Xenopus tropicalis: one gene and its partner. The protein of the gene in region 2 purifies or fractionates together with the protein of the main gene of each other region. This does not show direct contact. Links are inferred from orthologs where the notes say so. Each region holds a gene or a part of one and is shown on either strand. Other genes may lie near its edges.

Region 1 (4,348 bases), on a different chromosome or scaffold from region 2:
AACATTAAGCAATGGCAAACACTGATTTTAATTAAAAAAAAAAAAAAGTGCTATTCTTTCCCCAGTTAATCAATTACCTTATCCTGTGCCTGGCTCAGCTCTCCTTTCTCAGGGTCTGTGAATTCCACCAATATTCTAAGTGATTTCACCCTAGGAAGAAAAAAAAATAGACACACATGAACCTTCAATGTTCATTTTAACTGGTGTTCAAGTTCTAACAAAAGCCTCTGCTTGGAATAAAAGCCTGCGGTAGCTAGGATTTCATTATATCCACTGAAACAGACATATATCCCACATAACCAGTCCTCACTCACATCAAGTGTCAGCAAGTTGTCTCCTGTCAACTACGTGCCAACCCTAGCAAGGTCTGCCAGTAAGTTTTACATGAAGAGCCTAACATTAGCTACACGGCCATTTCTTCCAAATAAACGGCCCTCACATCGAGTCCCAACATGTCCGAAATTCATAACATCATCATCATATTTTACATTACATGCAGACTAATATAGAAGCTACCATGGAAGAATTTTTTACTTTGGCAAATCTCTGCCATCCCGAAGCAGCACCAGAGCCACTAGAAGTTGGCACTAGGGGTGTCCACCCATTTTCATACCTTAGAATCTATAAAGGTAAATTCATAGGCACCAATAAATGATTAATAGTTGCAAGGGTGCCTATTAATATGTCCCACATAGCACCTCCCTTGCTAACTGCCAAGTAGATTCTCCTGACAAAAACCACATTCATTTATACCAATTCAATTAAATGGCCACCTCTTTGCAATGGCAGGCAGGCCTGAAACCCCAGCCAGGCAGTATACAGAGGGTGAACTGTAGGCCTACAGACACATAGATGTCCCATAACAGGCAAATGAGTAACTATTTTAGAATTTAAAGAACACCTTAATTTGATCACTAAAAAGGTGTAATGGAATGTTATGGTGTAAAACACTAAAGCGAGGAGTCACTTAACGAACACAAAATATAAATTCATGCCACTGACTGTATTTATAAGAGAGTAAATCATGGGAACATGCCAGCCTACCCAGCAATGCTACTGCATTCATACCTCCCAACATTTGAAAAGCAGAAGGAGGGACAGAAATGTCTGGCGCGCAAGCCAACATTTTTAGGCCACGCCCACTTTATGGCCACGCCCCCCCCAAACAGGCCCATTTTACAAAACCACACCTGAAAAGCATAACATACACAAAGTGCACCAGAAGACAGACACGGTGGCCCCAATCATTTTATGACATATTGTGGCCCTAAGGATTTCATTATGCACTGTGGCACCTGTATTTAATGACAAACTCATGACCAGACATTGGTAGCCAGGTGTTATGTTTTGCATTGGCGCTAGAGCAGGGACCCCCTAAAACATTGCTGGTCCTCCCGCAGTGTCCCCCTACTACGGGCTGCTCCCCACTGCAGCATCCTCCCCAACATCCTTCAGCTGCCCCCAGCATCCACCCAACATCCTTCAGCTCCTCCCAGCGTCCTACCCAACATCCTTCAGCTCCCCCCAAAATCCTTCAGCTCCCCCCAAAATCCTCCAGCTCCCCCCAACATCCTCCACAATATCCTTCAGCTCCCCCAACATCCTCCAGCTCCCCCCAGCATCCTCCAGCTGCCTCCCAGGGTCCTCCAGCTGCCCCTAACCTTCCTCCAGTGTCCTCCCCAGCGTCAACCTGCTTTCTGTGGCACCCCCTGCTCCTACCACCACCAGCTTCCTCCGGCTGTGCCCCAGGGCTCTTCTTCTCCTCCTCGTGACGTCACATGCACGTCTCTTGAGTGCCGCAGCTGCTGCACTGTGAATGGCTTTATGTTAAAACTGAAGTGAGCGGCGCAGAAGCTGTGGCGCTAAGGGGAGACGTGCGTGTGGCGTCACGGGAGCAGAGACCTTTAAAAGTGGGACAGATCTGCAGCTATCCGGGACAGCGGGACAGGGTGGCAAAATCGGGACTGTCCCGCATAAAGCGGGACAGTTGGGAGGTATGACTGCATTTTCCAATATGAAAGAGAAATTCAGACAATGTATAAATAATGAAGGAATCACCATTCCCAAGAGTTAGGACTAGCAGTGCAGTCAGAGACAGGGCACATCAACATTAATAGAAAGATCTCTAATAATAAGAAATGCAATTCCATCATCCAATCACACGTCTGAATGTATTCTAAGGACAGTCATTGGGTGCTTCTAATTCCCCGCCCCCTTGATATTCCCGCCACCCAAGTGAGGTGCAGAACTGTACAACATGTCATTTCCATTACTGAGCCCAGCAGGGATGCTCCTTCTAGTGTAAAATCCCTTCCCTATGCCTTTCTTGGCATCTCTAACCAAACAGGAGAATATTCCATTGCATATGGCCGAATTGTGGGACCCAGTCTGTACCTTATATTTTCCTGCTTACTACATCAATGTCCAACTCACTACCCTCAAGTTGAGATTTATTTATAACTCCCACCCCTATTGGGGTGATACCGGAAGTCACAGTGGAACCCCAGAATGAAGGCAGCACCGATAGATACACTCAAAATATTTAACAAACGTTGCACATTATATGTCCTTCCCAGCCAGCCAGGCAAGGTGCGGGCTCATGAAGCTATGCCTGAAGCACAAATGCGGGACGGTATTAATGGATGCGCGTCCCAGAACACTTCCGGTATGGCGGTACCAAGGAAGGAGCGCAGGGATATCCCTAATCGGATCGCTACATCCACAGGGCCGCTGCCGCCTTACACTGCATCATGTGACTGTCTCCCTGGGCCTAACGCTATAGTCACCATTCTCCCATTCACACTAGCGGGGCCTCACAGGTTGGCAGCGCTGCTCTCTATCGCTCTCAGCTCAGCTATAATGGTTTCTCTCTTCTCCGCCTCCTCCATACCGCAAACTAACAAGCCATAAGGTTTTCCCGGGCTTCAATCTGCCTCCTCCCAGCATGCACCTCGCTAATACGCGGAAGTGCTAAACAACAATGAGTGTGCGAGGTTGGGGGCGGCGCTTCAGAACGCCCTCTAGTGGGGTGTTCTTCCAACTGCATGTGTGTGTTGCAAACGAGGCTAAAGGCGCGAATGGGGAAAGTTGTATTTGTGTAATTGGAAAATAAAGAAATTTCTATGAAAGTTTATGTACTTTTTTCCCCTCTCAAATTGGCATTTAGCAGTGCTTTTACATGATCTCTGCTTAATGGTTGCACCTAGAATAACCCATTCCATAGGGATCCCAGGTTACTATATAAGCAGGCAATACAGTGTCTATGGGGATATTTATGATTTACTACATTGCCCCAAATGACATCTCAGCAAACATGTAGCCTGCATCATAGCCATGGGCAGAGAATTGCAATTGTGTTTCCAATTACTATAGGAAGGGCTGCCATCAGTGGGGTAAAGGGGTGCTGCAATCAGAGGCCCTGTGGCAGAGGGGGCTCCAGAAGAAGGATTCACTGGTCATTAAAGGGCAGGGGGAGTGGGTAGGGTTTAGGTGGATTGTGGGCAAGATTTTACTCTAATGGGATGTGACTGGGGTTGATCAGGGCCTTGGTTATGCATGTGCTGCCCATTATTCTTATTTTTCCATTGGTGACTTGTTGGCGGGGCCCACAGTCTAGGTCCCTAAGTGCCCAGTAGGTAAATAATTGTGTGCCGCCTGGGTGGGTACTAGTGCCTTGTGATTTGTAATGGTATCCATGACTTCTGGGTATTGTGTAAGAAAAGAAGCTGAGAACCAAGTTGATTATAAAGGGGGCCATACACTGTAAGATCCGCTTGTTGGCAAGGTCTAAAGGACAAATATCGGCAACTGAAATTGGCCTGTGTATGAGGCCTGTGAAGCAGTTGAATAATCTTGTCCAATACAGTGAAGCCAGGGGTGTATCTTGGGATCTCTGGACACCCCCATACCACCCATGGACCATAGGGGCTGTGAATGGGGAATGTGGGCTGCTTTTTACTGGGTCCCCTGTCTCTTTGGGTCCCTCTTTGGCCATGGCGAAAGCTGAGTCTCCTCTCCATAAAGTTAAGTTACTAAGGTTACTAAGGTAACCTATGCCACTATCATCACCACTTGCCCAGGCTTTCTGCCCTTCTTCTTTGGCACCTGTGAAGCAGTTGAATAATCTTGTCCAATACAGTGAAGCCAGGGGTGTACCTTGGGATCTCTGGACACCCCCATACCACCCATGGGCCATAGGGGCTGTGAATGGGGAATGTCAGCTGCTTTTTACTGGGTCCCCTGTCTCTTTGGGTCCCTCTTTGGCCATGGGGAAAGCTGAGTCTCCTCTCCATAAAGTTAGGTTACTAAGGTAACCTATGCCACTATCATCACCACTTGCCCAGGCTTT
Region 2 (4,522 bases):
GCCGAAAAAATCGCAAAAAATACGAAAAAGTCGCAAAATGTTCGTTTTCAAATCAGAATTTTTCCAATTCGGTTCAGATTCATGTCTTAGTAAATGTGCCCCCTAGTGTAGAGCAATGGCATTTTTTTTTTAACCCTAACTAACAAAGGTAGTGCCAGTTGGGCAATTATGGATGTACATAGGGAATTTATTTATAGATTAAAACTAATAAAGTCCATAATTTCCCAAAGGAAAATACCTTTGCTATTATATATAAATAAGGCTTGTTTCCTCCTGCCCCTACTTTTTTCACATACACACCAACTCACATTGCATATTACAATGACATTACACATACATCCTTTTACAGTAGCTCAGAACCCATAATAGAGTGTTATTACAAATGCACATAGTTCATATTTTAAGCATTCAAATTATCACCCCCAATCTTTCCCCAACTGCCTTTGGGCTGGGATTCCAGGACTATTTTGAAAAATAAAATAAGAAAAAAACATTTATCACAAATCTCCGAACTGGCCCTCATGCACCCCCATACAGGACCAGTAGTGATAGGGGTGCATCATGACTTAAATTAGGGTGATTCCTGAAAAAATCAGGTGAGTTGGCAAGTCTGTATGCGACAAAATGAGAAGGTCTGAGAGCATGTCTGTGTAACTGTTTGGTATGTGGCATGATCTACTTTGGAGGTATTTTTAGATATTTCTGCCCAAGCTGAATTCTAGATAATGCTGTATTGCATCCTCCACCATCCCACCAACATCCAAATTGCAATTCAGCAACTGCAAGAGTTCCACATTCCTGCCTTATGAAAATATGCCCATCTGTCCTGCAATGCCAGCGACCCCATGCATGCAGTGTACCTGCCTATGGGTGCTTCTGTATAAAGCACAGGACAAAGGCCAAGATGGTGGTTTTCCTGCAGATGCCCCATTGCTGGATCCTTTTTGCCCAATTTCCATACCTAACAGGCAAAAAGAAATCTGGCATCTAAGGGAGGAGGGAGACAGCCAGGTGTATAGTTTGAAGACAGGACAGACCTACAGAGCAGCGGGGTGCTGCTTGGCCAGAAACCCTGGTGGGTTTGGGCTGAGCCTTACTATGCACCTACCCCACACCCTATGTATCATGACAAGTAAGAAGGGAGCAGTAGGGACAGTTTAACTAATCCCTGGTTCCTGTTACCAAAACATGGTCCCTCCAAGGAAAATGTTGCACATATCTTACTACAGCAGTTTGGCCACGCCTACCTTTAATGCCACACCCACTTTAATGTGTAGCTTTTTGTAACATTAAAAGAATACTTTGGTTAGCCACAAAATTTGACATTTTACTTCCTGTGTGCCCTGGGTACCATTATCTCACTATACCCCAGATTTGTCTTCTCCATTTTATCTGCTACACTTATGCCATTATTTCTAGTTTGTTCTTTCCTCACATTCAATTCAAATATTACCATAGGGCTCAGTCTGCAGATCTCTGGCAACTCAGCTGACATGCTTCTGTGCAGCTCTCCCCTCCCTCTCCCTGTAGCGGCTCAGCCACTTCCTTTACACTGGCTCACAGACAAAGCACAAGAGAAGCAGTCCGTCCCTCATCCCTCTCCCTCAACCTGTACAAAAAAATAATCTTTCACAAGCCGACTCTATACGTGATGGGGAATGCAGGAAACTAACTGCAGGTCTGAACCGGAAGTCAAGCAATCACAACAACCCCATTTTTGTGCGGCGTCCTAAAAATGAATGGTAATGTTATTGTATTAAAACTTATACTTGTAATGTTGCATTTTCTGCATGATAGATATGTTATTAGAAGTGTTTAGAAGTGATATTTAATGTAAAATGTTTCCTTAACATGACATATCCCAATCCTAACTTCCTTTCCCTACGTGTAAATATGCCCCATCATCTGCTTCTTTCTATTTTTCCCACCTCCTGGTATTTGTTTTGTTTTGCATTTTTACCTCGCCCCCTGCATGTTTATTGGATGTATTTTGCCAGTTTCCATACCGTCTAAAATGCAAGAGCTGTCATGCTTTTTCTCTTGTCAGTTCTCAGCCCTTTCTCCTGTTCCATAACAGAACGCTGCTGAAGTGAATGTCAGGCCTACTACCCCTTTCCCTCTCCAAGCTTGTGTTGTAGCCCCGCCCCTTCTCTGATGTAACAGGAGGCAGAGTTTCAGACATGATAGAAGTTCGGATTGGCCCAACAGCAGTAGGCTGAGACATTAGGCTAGAGGAAAGGGCAAGAGTAACGTGGTGTTACAGATGGGAGTGAGGTGGTGTTCGGCTACAGCAAACTAACTGCAGGCGCTAAAGGTATCATTATCTCATATTGGGAATTCTTCATTCGCCATCATTCATATGAATTGCGCGCAGCATTAGATCTTATTCTGCTGCGCATGCGCCCCAATCTCTCACTTGCTTTGCAGGGTAAAAACACGGCGATTTTCTATCCCTTGCCGAGGGTATTACTATGTATGCGCCTCAACTAGGCTTAACGCAAGTGATTTCTGCTGTTAGTTGCAGAGTAAGCCTCCGCTTCACCTCTATTAAGGATTATTTTGGCTACAGCATGTATGAGAGCTAAATGGCGGATACATACTGTATTGGATATATTTAGGAATGGCAGTGGGCTAGTTTCTCTTTGCAGCGTTTCATTTTGGGGTGAAACAAGAGCCATGGACCATTTATGCCAATGATATTGCTTTGCTTCAAGGTTCTGTTAGATTCTTCCTTTGTTTTAATTGGGGATGCAACAAATCCAGAATTCGGTTCAGGATTCTGCTAAGATTCTTTTTCAGCAGGATTCGGCTGAATCCATGCCTTTGGCCAAATCAAATCTGTATCCTGAAAAAACACCGGAGTTGAACATTGGTACTAATACCTTATTCCTGTTGCTGTCCTGGGAGAACACATTACATCAAAACCCTCTTTCTCAGAGTCTGTGGCGTAACTAGCATACAGTGCCTGGACCGTGGGGCCTGCTATATAGTAGTGCCCTTCTCCTGTCAACTAAAGAACTAAAGCTTCAGAGGGGCACAGCACCCACCCCAGTGCCTCGCATGCTGACCCCCACTTGCAGTGGGAGGACAGCCCAGGGCTGGCACTTCACTTAGATTGCAAGCTCTACGGGGCAGGGGCCTCTTTTATACTGTCTCTCATATCACATGGCACTTACTCCCGGTGTATTTATATTTATTTATTGTATTTATTATAACACTTGTCCTCCCTGTGTGTAATTTTGTATATTGTAAGATTGCACAGCTCTGCATACTCTTGTGGCGCTTTATAAATAAAGTTATACATACATACATACATGCATACACTGAGTTGAACCCTTGCAAGGTATTGGAGGAAATATTCTAGGAGGCTGAACTGTCAACAATTTGGTACATCCCAACAAAAGGATCTGTACAACAAAGGATAAAGCAGTTTGAGATTGATTATACAGTGGCTGAGCTTTGTATGATATTAAACATGTGGCACATCACTTAAATATAAACAGTTGGAGAGGTCTCCTGTCCAATTAACTTCTTGAACATTGGTCATATCTAGGATGAATTCTGTTGCCCCAATTACTTTTGTGACAAAAGAATATAGACGGTTTAGTCTCAGCCTGCTTAAACCTAGATTATTCATTGTAAATATTTACTTTTTTTCTATTAAAGCTTCAGCCAGCATGGATGGCAACAAAAAACTGGTTGTTGTGGAAGACTTTGTGGAGTATAAGTTGTATATGGTGACCCAAAAACCAAGCGATGCAGAGACAGAAAGAAAAATTCTTCAGGAGTATATAGAGCGCATACTGGCTAAATTTGCACCATTACTTGCTCCTTATATCTGGCAGAACCAACCGTTCAATCTGAGATATAAAGCTAAAAAAGGTAAGGCTTTGATGAATATATTTATTGAGCAAAAATGATAACATAAGTACATAGGAAATAACTGCATGTTTAATTGGCAACATTTTGCTCCACTTCAGCAAACCATAGCAACTAAGCAGCAGCAATTATTTAGTGGTCTAATTCTGCTAAAATTATGATAACAGTGGTTTCTTTGGTTGTTCTTGGGCAATGTTGCAATGCTAATACTTAACCTACCAATTCATTTGACTTACTTTCACCCTTTTGTGATATATTAAGCAATTTATGTGGTTGCTGGAGGTGTTAGCTTGAGGATGTTTTCGGTTTAGAATAAGAGATGACAGAAGGTAGAGGAATTATTAAAGGAAAAATATACCCCCTTTTTAACATGAACTCATTTGGTTGGGCTTATTTAGAAAAGGTGCATACATTGTACCTGAATTTCCAGAAATAAATTAAAATATATTTGTTTTTACACAGTCATACCTGATTCCACAGATTGAATGGAAACCATGATAGCCTATTTCTATTTGCCATTTTCCCACCTCCTTAATTTTAACAGTGTAATTCAACCCCTCCCTCACCTTGTTCCATTGTGAAATGATGGACTCTACTTTTCAGAGAATCTGTACACCACCCAGTGTGAAAGGCAAAGGGACTT

The links. The genes of interacting proteins can lie anywhere in the genome.
Region 1: the proteins of ecd (region 2) and tssc4 purify together in Homo sapiens (affinity purification with mass spectrometry; 3 studies listed by BioGRID and IntAct, counting the BioPlex papers as one, with this or other methods). This does not show direct contact. The link is inferred for Xenopus tropicalis from reciprocal best matches to the Homo sapiens genes ECD and TSSC4.

What each region holds. Positions count from the first base shown.
Region 1 is NC_030680.2:22,340,815-22,345,162, reverse strand, and holds the start of tssc4 (protein TSSC4), read right to left. Parts: upstream 2,991-4,348; 5' UTR 2,818-2,990; exon of another isoform or gene 2,743-2,817; intron 2,720-2,742; exon of another isoform or gene 2,395-2,719; intron 151-2,394; 5' UTR 78-150; intron 1-77. UniProt on the Homo sapiens protein: Protein associated with the U5 snRNP, during its maturation and its post-splicing recycling and which is required for spliceosomal tri-snRNP complex assembly in the nucleus.
Region 2 is NC_030683.2:38,362,505-38,367,026, reverse strand, and holds the start of ecd (protein ecdysoneless homolog), read left to right. Parts: upstream 1-1,603; 5' UTR 1,604-1,735; coding exon 1,736-1,742; intron 1,743-1,960; exon of another isoform or gene 1,961-1,982; intron 1,983-2,006; exon of another isoform or gene 2,007-2,116; intron 2,117-2,176; exon of another isoform or gene 2,177-2,314; intron 2,315-2,434; exon of another isoform or gene 2,435-2,525; intron 2,526-3,666; coding exon 3,667-3,882; intron 3,883-4,522. UniProt on the Homo sapiens protein: Regulator of p53/TP53 stability and function. Inhibits MDM2-mediated degradation of p53/TP53 possibly by cooperating in part with TXNIP. May be involved transcriptional regulation. In vitro has intrinsic transactivation activity enhanced by EP300.